2 linked regions of the Xenopus tropicalis genome follow. The protein of the gene in region 1 binds, or shares a complex with, the protein of each later gene. Links are inferred from orthologs where the notes say so. Each region holds a gene or a part of one and is shown in the gene's direction. Other genes may lie near its edges.

Evidence for each region. Proteins that work in one complex are often made in the same cells at the same time.
Region 2: exosc1 (region 1) and exosc6 share a complex: the UniProt entries of both Homo sapiens proteins name them as parts of the RNA exosome core complex. The link is inferred for Xenopus tropicalis from reciprocal best matches to the Homo sapiens genes EXOSC1 and EXOSC6.

The regions. Positions count from the first base shown.
Region 1 is NC_030683.2:32,985,207-32,989,336, forward strand, and holds the start of exosc1 (exosome complex component CSL4), read left to right. Parts: upstream 1-1,330; 5' UTR 1,331-1,347; coding exon 1,348-1,375; intron 1,376-1,915; coding exon 1,916-2,031; intron 2,032-2,400; coding exon 2,401-2,475; intron 2,476-3,120; coding exon 3,121-3,209; intron 3,210-3,842; coding exon 3,843-3,876; intron 3,877-4,130. UniProt on the Homo sapiens protein: Non-catalytic component of the RNA exosome complex which has 3'->5' exoribonuclease activity and participates in a multitude of cellular RNA processing and degradation events.
Region 2 is NC_030680.2:74,926,509-74,930,642, forward strand, and holds the start of exosc6 (exosome complex component MTR3), read left to right. Parts: upstream 1-1,334; 5' UTR 1,335-1,357; coding exon 1,358-2,008; intron 2,009-3,514; coding exon 3,515-3,676; 3' UTR 3,677-4,134. Other genes in the region: aars1 (alanine--tRNA ligase, cytoplasmic), read right to left, coding at 1,174-1,258. UniProt on the Homo sapiens protein: Non-catalytic component of the RNA exosome complex which has 3'->5' exoribonuclease activity and participates in a multitude of cellular RNA processing and degradation events.

The DNA.
Region 1 (4,130 bases):
GTTTATTAAACAATAGTATCCTTATACCCTTTTCTGTCAAGCATTTTCCTTAGTTCCAGAAGAGTTGGTATATGTTAATAAACTTTTTTAATTCTTAGCAAAAAGTTGATCCAGGGATTGTTGGAGTAATTACTTCACTCCCTTTAAGGCTTATGGGAGATGCCTTCTGATATCTGTATTGCTCCAGATTAACTAGATATTAGTGGTGTTTCTCTTAGAGAAAACGTTGAACTTGAAGGGTGTGTCCTTTTTCAACCACATCTACTATGTAAAGGTCTCAATTACAATTTCTAGGCACTAACAAAAGATGCTGTTAAATGCTATATGCAATGTGTACTTGTGCCTGCCTATGCCCATGCTGTATGCTTATTTTCCAGTGGCACCTGCTTTAGTGCATAAGGGGCAGTACAGCACTGTATCTGCGCTGGCCACACAGTAACTGCACAACCCCCTTGCCACTAGTTTATTAGACCCTATGAATGGTACACAATTAAAAAGCATTTTACTGTATGCCCAGGTGACAACTGTGTTGGAAACTAGTGAATTGTGTCAATTTTAAATAAGTATATTAGGGCTAGGAATTATTCATCTTGGCAGTGTTGTTAGTTACTGGCCTAGTTACTGACAGAAGATAAAAGTTCAATTATAAAGCAAGGTGTATATACACACATGTATATATATATATATATCTCAAATATTCAAATATTTTCTTCTTACAGTAGGTGTACGAGGCAAGAGCTTATTGCTGTCTGTGTGCCTCCTGTCCCTGAGAATAATTACACCATTTTGTAAGTTCTGATTATCCCCTATAGGTTACGAGGTCAAAAAGGGAGAAACGTACATCCCAAGAATAGCGTCTTATTCCGTAACCCCCTCGTCCGGTATTCTTTCTGCGTTATTAAGGAAAATATATATACCTATCGATTTTCGATGGAAGCACCACTGTACAGAAGCCTCACGCTGAGAGAGCCTGCCTCGCTATGGTTTCCATGCAACGTCATAGTGAAGAGAACGTTTTCTAATAACTATTACAGTCACAGGAAAAGCAGTGTAAATGACATTCTGTTGCTATAGGAACACATATCTGGCCAGGTTGTGATATGTAAAACCATATTTTTTTAGAAATGAAAATCGATTTCTAGAACACAGACTAATACTAACATAACACTGTTTTTTTAAGATAAAGTAAAGGCTGCCAGAACTCCAGCCTCAAATTGTACAATTGCTACGTGGTACGTCATCACGCTGCGACGGCTGAAGAGCCAATGGCAGGATATGTTACGTCACTAACCGGGATGTACCCAATCGGAGCCTTCATTGCCCAGTATTGGTTATCACGTGTTTATCATGGCTCCTGTAAGGTGCTGTGTGCCGGGTGAGTGAAGCAGGGCACAGTGTTTAGTTAGTGTCGGTGCCTGGTAAGGAAGGACTGGGTTGGGTAGGAGTGCTGTGGGTTAGTGACTGAGATGTAATAACAGTAGGGATGCCGTAAAAAGAAATTGTGGAAACATTTCTCCTGCTCGTGTTGTAGTAAATGTATGTATATCTTTATTTATAAAGCGCTACTTATGTACGCAGCGCTGTACAGTAGAATAGATTAATACAAACAGGGGGTTAATAAGATAATAGATGAATACAAAGTATAACAATAAATACAAATAAATACAAGATACAGTTACAGTTGCAATAAGTTAAGAGTCAAAGACACAAGAGGATGGAGGTCCCTGCCCCGTAGAGCTTACAATCTATATATATATATAATTTCAGCTCTCCTGTCAGGCTTCATTCTGGGAATTCTGAGTTCAAGTTCTAATCTCTGAAGTAATATATTATTTTTACTTTTAAAAGTTGGTTGTTTTTTATATACCCTGTGCAGAGTTGTATTATTGTGTTATCTTTCTTTTAACCTCTGCAGGTGAAAGGCTGTGCAGCACTGAAGACTGTGCCCCTGGATATGGAACTTTCTGCAGACATGGCTATATTTTTGCCTCCCTGGCAGGTTACATAGTGAAGAAAACTGACAATGGCTTGGTAAGTAGTTTTCTGTAGTAGGTTGTTATTATACATAGCTGAGATACGATACACGAGTGGTAACATTTATGTTTTCGGGAGGATTTTAGGGCAGTCATTTGTTTCCCAACTATACAAAGCAGTCACTGGGAGTTTGCAGCCAGCTCAGTCTTACATTGTTGAATATGTGCCAGCAGGCAGTTGGGTCTTGCCACCTAGACAATACTATTGATCCCACCCATACATGCAGCCCTGAAGTAATGTTGAAGCTCATCTTTAAACTATTTCTGAAAGTACAATAATTTGCTGCTCCTGTGCAGACTGTCCCCAGTATAATATAGTTTTTATTTAAAATTTTTATTTCCTTACCTGCACTTTTTTGGTTTCTAGATGCCAGTTATTTCTGTGGTAAGAGAGACTGATTCACATCTTCTGCCAGATGTTGGCTCTGTTGTCACTTGTAAGGTAAGAATGTATTTTGCACACCAAAGTAGAATTCTGTAGTGGTGTTGTGTTATAACAGGTGGTAAAATGTATCTTTTTTTTTTTTTTTTGGGGGGGGGGGGGGGGGGGCTGGGTTTAGGGCAGTCATTTGTTTCTCAGCTATACAAAGCAGTTAGTAGGAGTAGAAGCCAACATTGATCCCACCCATGTATATAGTTTTTATGATCAGGCAAAAATCCTCTTTTTGGTGACCTTTCAGCATAAAAGCTGGCTTAGGTACAAGAGGACTGGTAAGGAGCTGTGTAAAGGGCTCAATGACATTAACATGTCCCAGCCAAATGATGGGTTATTGTGAGATACGAGGTACTTACAAGCTTAAAAGGAGCACTTTGGAAGGAGATGATAATGATTGTGGGAAAACTAAGAGAGTGCCATCTGTACATCAGCTTTTATAGATTGTAATATTCACTTTAAATGAACCAATACTTTGAGGCAATCTGTAACTGGTATTTATTTTTTTAAGCTCCACTATGTTTTATAACACAGTATTTGTCAATTTGAAATGTGAACTTTTTTTCATTTACTTTTTAATTTTTCATTCTTATAATAAACTTCATTTATTATTATGGAGTTTCTAATTTAGTCTTTATTTCCATTCATAATTAGGTAACAAGCATTAACTCCAGGTTTGCAAAGGTCCAAATTATGTATATTGGTTCAACTCCACTGAGTAACACATTTCGAGGCACAATCAGGTAAAGGATTTACTCTGAGGCTAGACCCTTCTTATTTAAAGTAAACCTTCTGCAGTATAGAGGGAGCCCATGTACTGGCATTTCTGGGTGTTGAAGATGTGTTCTGACATTTGCTCAAAAAAAATCGCATAACCCCTTTTGCAATTTAATTTTTATGCCATAAAGCAAGATTGGGCTTGTGTATTGCAGAAGATTAGTAAAAGTCACGAGAACCAGGAGATGGATTCCTTTATACATGCAGCTGAAAATGCGGGCTGGGGATTTGAGGACACTGACCCCAGCAGCAAAACAAAATATTTACTGCAGGGCTTGACAGTTATGGATAGTGGTTATATTTCTTTTCAGGGCCCGCTGTTCTTCATCTTTCATGTAAAGATTGCGCATTGGTTTTTAGGATAATTAACCCCTGGCAGTGAGAATTTAAATTCCAACCCTCAGAGCAGCAGAACAAAAAATTTAAGAATAAATTAAAAATCCAAAAAAAGCTATTGAATCTGTTTGCCTGTGTATGAATTGCTTAAAAGTACATTTTAAGGTGTTACACAGTGTTTTTAGAAATTATATGATTAAGAGCCAGAGCTGGGCATCTAACATTATTGCCTTATGTATAAATAGTTGCTTTTTGGCTTCTAGGAAAGAAGACATTCGTGCTACAGAAAAAGACAAGGTAACTGGACCCGCTTGTTTGTTTTTGTGAGTAAAAAAAAAAAATGTTAGGCACCCTCTCCGAGATTGTAATCACTTACTGCATACCCCAGATTGTGCTCCTGTTAGCAAAAAACTACACTGGCCCAGAGAACAGTTTGCTGGTTCTTCCTTCTTCACGGTGGATATGCATGCACAGCAGTGTGAAAAATGCCAGCTTTTCCTCTCTACTGCGCACGCCCCAACTTGGGGCCACTGAAGAATGAAGATGATTGG
Region 2 (4,134 bases), on another chromosome or scaffold:
GGCCACACCCCATTTTTAAAATATTTAAAATAGTGCCCACGATGGCCCAATAGACAGCACCCCCATACACAGTGCCCCCCATACACAGTAGCCCTCCTTACACAGTGTCCCCCCATACACAGTAGCCCTCCTTACACAGTGTCCCCCCATACACAGTAGCCCTCCTTACACAGAGCCACCCCATACACAGAGCCCCCCATACACAGTGCCCCCCCATACACAGAGCCCCCCCATACACAGAGCCCCCCATACACAGTGCCCCCCATACACAGAGCCCCCCGATACACAGAGCCCCCCATACACAGTGCCCCCCCATACACAGTGCCCCCCCATACACAGTGCCCCCCCATACACAGTAGCCCTCCTTACACAGTGTCCCCCCATACAATGCCCCCCCCATACACAGAGCCCCCCAATTGCCCCCATAGTGAGTACCTCCAAAAGAAAATGCCCCCATACATAGCGGCCCCCATAGACTTCTTGGGCTCCTGCTCCTTATTCGGCTCCTCGTACAGCGGAGACAGGACCTTTTATAAGGTTGCGCCCGTGCATACGTGTGACGTCACACGTACGCACGGGCGCAACCTTATAAAAGGACCTGTCGCCACCGTACGAGGAGCCGAATAAGGAGCAGGAGCCCAAGAAGAGACGGAGCCGGAGCGATCCGCTGCAGCCAGCAGCAGGGTATGTAATAGAAACACATATATCAGAAACATAAATTATTTTATGCACATAAATACAACTGATTTGGAAAGTCCCATGTCTCCTGAACGTGCCAATACCAAATATATATAGTTTTATGGAGATTTCTCACTTGTATAGGTCAAAAACTCCCAGCAGTACACTACCATATTTCCAAAGCACTGCTCCAGAAAGCTGCACACATTAAGGCCAAAAATTCCACTAACAGAAGGTTTACCCTAGAAACCTATGCATTTCTGGAAAGAACAGATTCTGGCGAATCCAGAATAAGTAAAACTGTCTGTCTACTCCAAACTATTAAGTTGCAATGCTTTCCTAAATTTATAATTTTTTTCTAAAAATTTGTGACATTTTTTGAAAAATTGCTTCAAATCTTCCATTCTATAGCATCATATCTACTGCTAGGTCATAAGGTAACCAGATAAAACACCCTAAATATGAAAGTCAGGGGTGCATTGAACAGTTTCATACCCAATAGTAGATCACAGGGTGACAAAGTGTCTGGGCACCCCTGTGCTAGTAAAGGCCCGTTCCAGGCACAGAGGATAAAATTCATCGAGTGGCCACTGTGCGGCGGTGTTTCGGCGCATTAGGCCTGTCCGTGCTCACGGTGGGAGGAAACACGTTGTAGGATAGTATCACCCAGTGCATAGCCATGCCGGGAGACAGCCGCCGTATTCGTGGCCCCGAAGAGTCGCAGTCCCCTTTGCTCTATGTACTGAGTGAAGAAGGAGGAAAAGCCGCAGGGAGAAGGGGCCGCGGTCCGTCAGAGCCCCGGCCGGTGTTTGTCAGGGCCGGCCTCCTGAGCCAGGCTAAAGGCTCCGCGTACCTGGAGGCCGGGAGTGGCGGCACTAAAGTGCTGTGCGCAGTTCATGGGCCGCGGGAGCGCGGGATGGGAGGGGAGAGAGCAGAGACCCGGGGCCGCCTGCTCTGTGACCTGCGCTGGGCTCCCTTCTCCCGCCGCGGACCCTGGTCTGGCTCTTGCCCCGCTGGGCCCTCTCCCCGCCAGGCCGGGCTGCAACTACAGGAAAGTCTGGAACCGGCCGTGCGATTGGATCGCTACCCCCGAGCGGAGGTGATAGTGTGGGTCCTAGTGCTGGAGGATCGCGGCTCTGCGCTGCCTGCGGCCGTGTCTTGTGCCTCGCTGGCTTTGGCCGATGCTGGGATAGAGATGTTTGACCTGGCGCTCGGATGTGGGCTAAGCCGCGGCCCCGGTGGGGAGCTTCTGCTGGATCCGGATGATGATGAAGAGGAGGCTGGGAGTGGGGGCACCATGAGCCTGAGCCTCTTGCCAACCCTTAATCAGGTCAGCGGCCTGTGTGCCACTTCTGGTGTAGGGGCAGATAGGGGCTTAGTGCTTGGGCATGTGGGGGTTACTGTGGGACACACCAGCTCTGCACTCCTTGCTTTCCCTCATCCTACTAGTACAGCTATTAACCCCTAACAAATTGAAAGTATATTAGCTCAGAGCCCCATTCACGCTTTATACTTATTCTTTGTTTTCTTTAGTTTACATGATACATCTATTAAGATTCCACCATCTGTCTACATTGTGCCTTCTCTCTTCAGCAGCTCCTTCACATTTGCCTCTCCAGAAAACTTCTGGCAACTTAGGAAAACTGATGCAGCAAATTTGCCAACCCACTGGGGATTCACATTCTTGCTGGTGGCAAGGCATTTCGAGAAGATTAGTCTCACTCGATTGCAAAGATGTATCACAGGCGACTAATCTTCCCACGTGCCAGTGCCCTAGGGCAATGCTATACTAAGCAATTACCTCCATCAAGATTTGCTGCTCATTGGGTGGGTGCCATGCCATTGATCTGAGAGGGCTGTTATCCGTACCTTTCTGGTCAGGCTCCATTGCAGCTCATAGGCTGCTGTTCAACAATATCATTATATATAAAGTGTAAAACTGCTGGTATGTAAACTAAAGAGAATTTAAAAATAGTGTACATTGAAAAAGTGCATAGAAGAGTCGTAGCCACTGCTGTTCGCCTTGCAGCCTGTAGAGCAGTGGGTTAATGGCACAGTGTAGCCTAACCTGTCAGCCTAAATTGAATGAAACTGTTACATAGTGACTTAAAAAAAATAGACTTTGGGAGCATTAGAGAAATCTGGATCCATGTACGCTAATATGAAGCAGCTCTTGGAATCACGTATTTGCGCTGGTGATGATGGTCTTTCCAGTGTAACGATTTTAGATTGCTTATAATATACATTGTTTTAATATTGGGCTTTGGACTTAGTGTTCAGCTTCTCAAAGCAGCTAAACATTCTGCCAAATAGACATTTTCCTGCCAGGCATTAAAATGGGAGAAAAAATTCAAACTGCTGGGAATCTCTGGGTGTTACTAGGTTTTGGCATTATTTGAGAAATGTTATTGGGTAACTTAAGGTGGAAAAGAAAGTTGACACAGAAAAGAGTATAGCTCTGCCAGTGCTTTGCCGCCATGTTATGAAAGGCTCCCATGGACCACTGTGTGAGACTGGGGACTTAAAGAACATTACAGTGCTGGCAGAAATAGTGTGTTATGTGTTGAAAAGGAACTCCAGCCTGGGGTTTAAGATTAGTAATTGTAATGAGTGGGGGCATAACATTCCCAATGACATCATTTTTATTTTCCATTAAATAGCCAACAAATGGTATAGGACATAATGCAAAGGAGGTTTTTTTGCTGAAAACAATTTCATGTAATATCTTATTGCTGTACTATATGCACATTTTCAGCAAGGGGGCTAATATTTAGTTTTGCTTACAAATCTACAGGAATGAACTCCTAATGACAGTCATGTTTTCTTGTACCCACAGGTTTCTGGACTTATTAGCAGTGGAGAGTGGGAAGGCGAGAGCTCGGAGGAAGCGGTTAGACTCTGCATGGAAGGCTGCCAGAGATTGTACCCAGTTTTGCACCAGTGCCTAGTGAAAGCCACTAAAAGGAAAATACCAGTGCCACAGCCTGACACAAACTGATCCTCGTAGCTTTGGGTGCAGCTCTCCTTTCTAAGGCAAACTAATAGTGCTGCAAAGCAGGCAATGTCTACTTTCTGCTCTATAGTGGATCGGGACCACCCGAAGACAAAGCCACCATCGCTGGCTGATCAAATGTATTGTTGAAGTGTTATATTCTGTATATGGTCAGCTGAAAATTATAGCTCTGTATTCATGTTGAATGTGAAAGGCGTATAGTATCTATACAGAACTTGTTTGCCAGTCAATCTGCTTTAACAGCTGCTCTCTAAAGACAGAAATAACACTGATTTCAGTTTACTATGGCATTTAGAATATCCCTTTACTGGGAACTTACTGTACCAGCTACTGTCACTTATTTCCTTAAAAGGGAATCTCCACCTGGTTTCTGTTTAAAACTCCATTTTCATGGGGCAAAATTATTTTCTATAGACAGCCTTAGGCTTTTTTCCCTGCTGTAG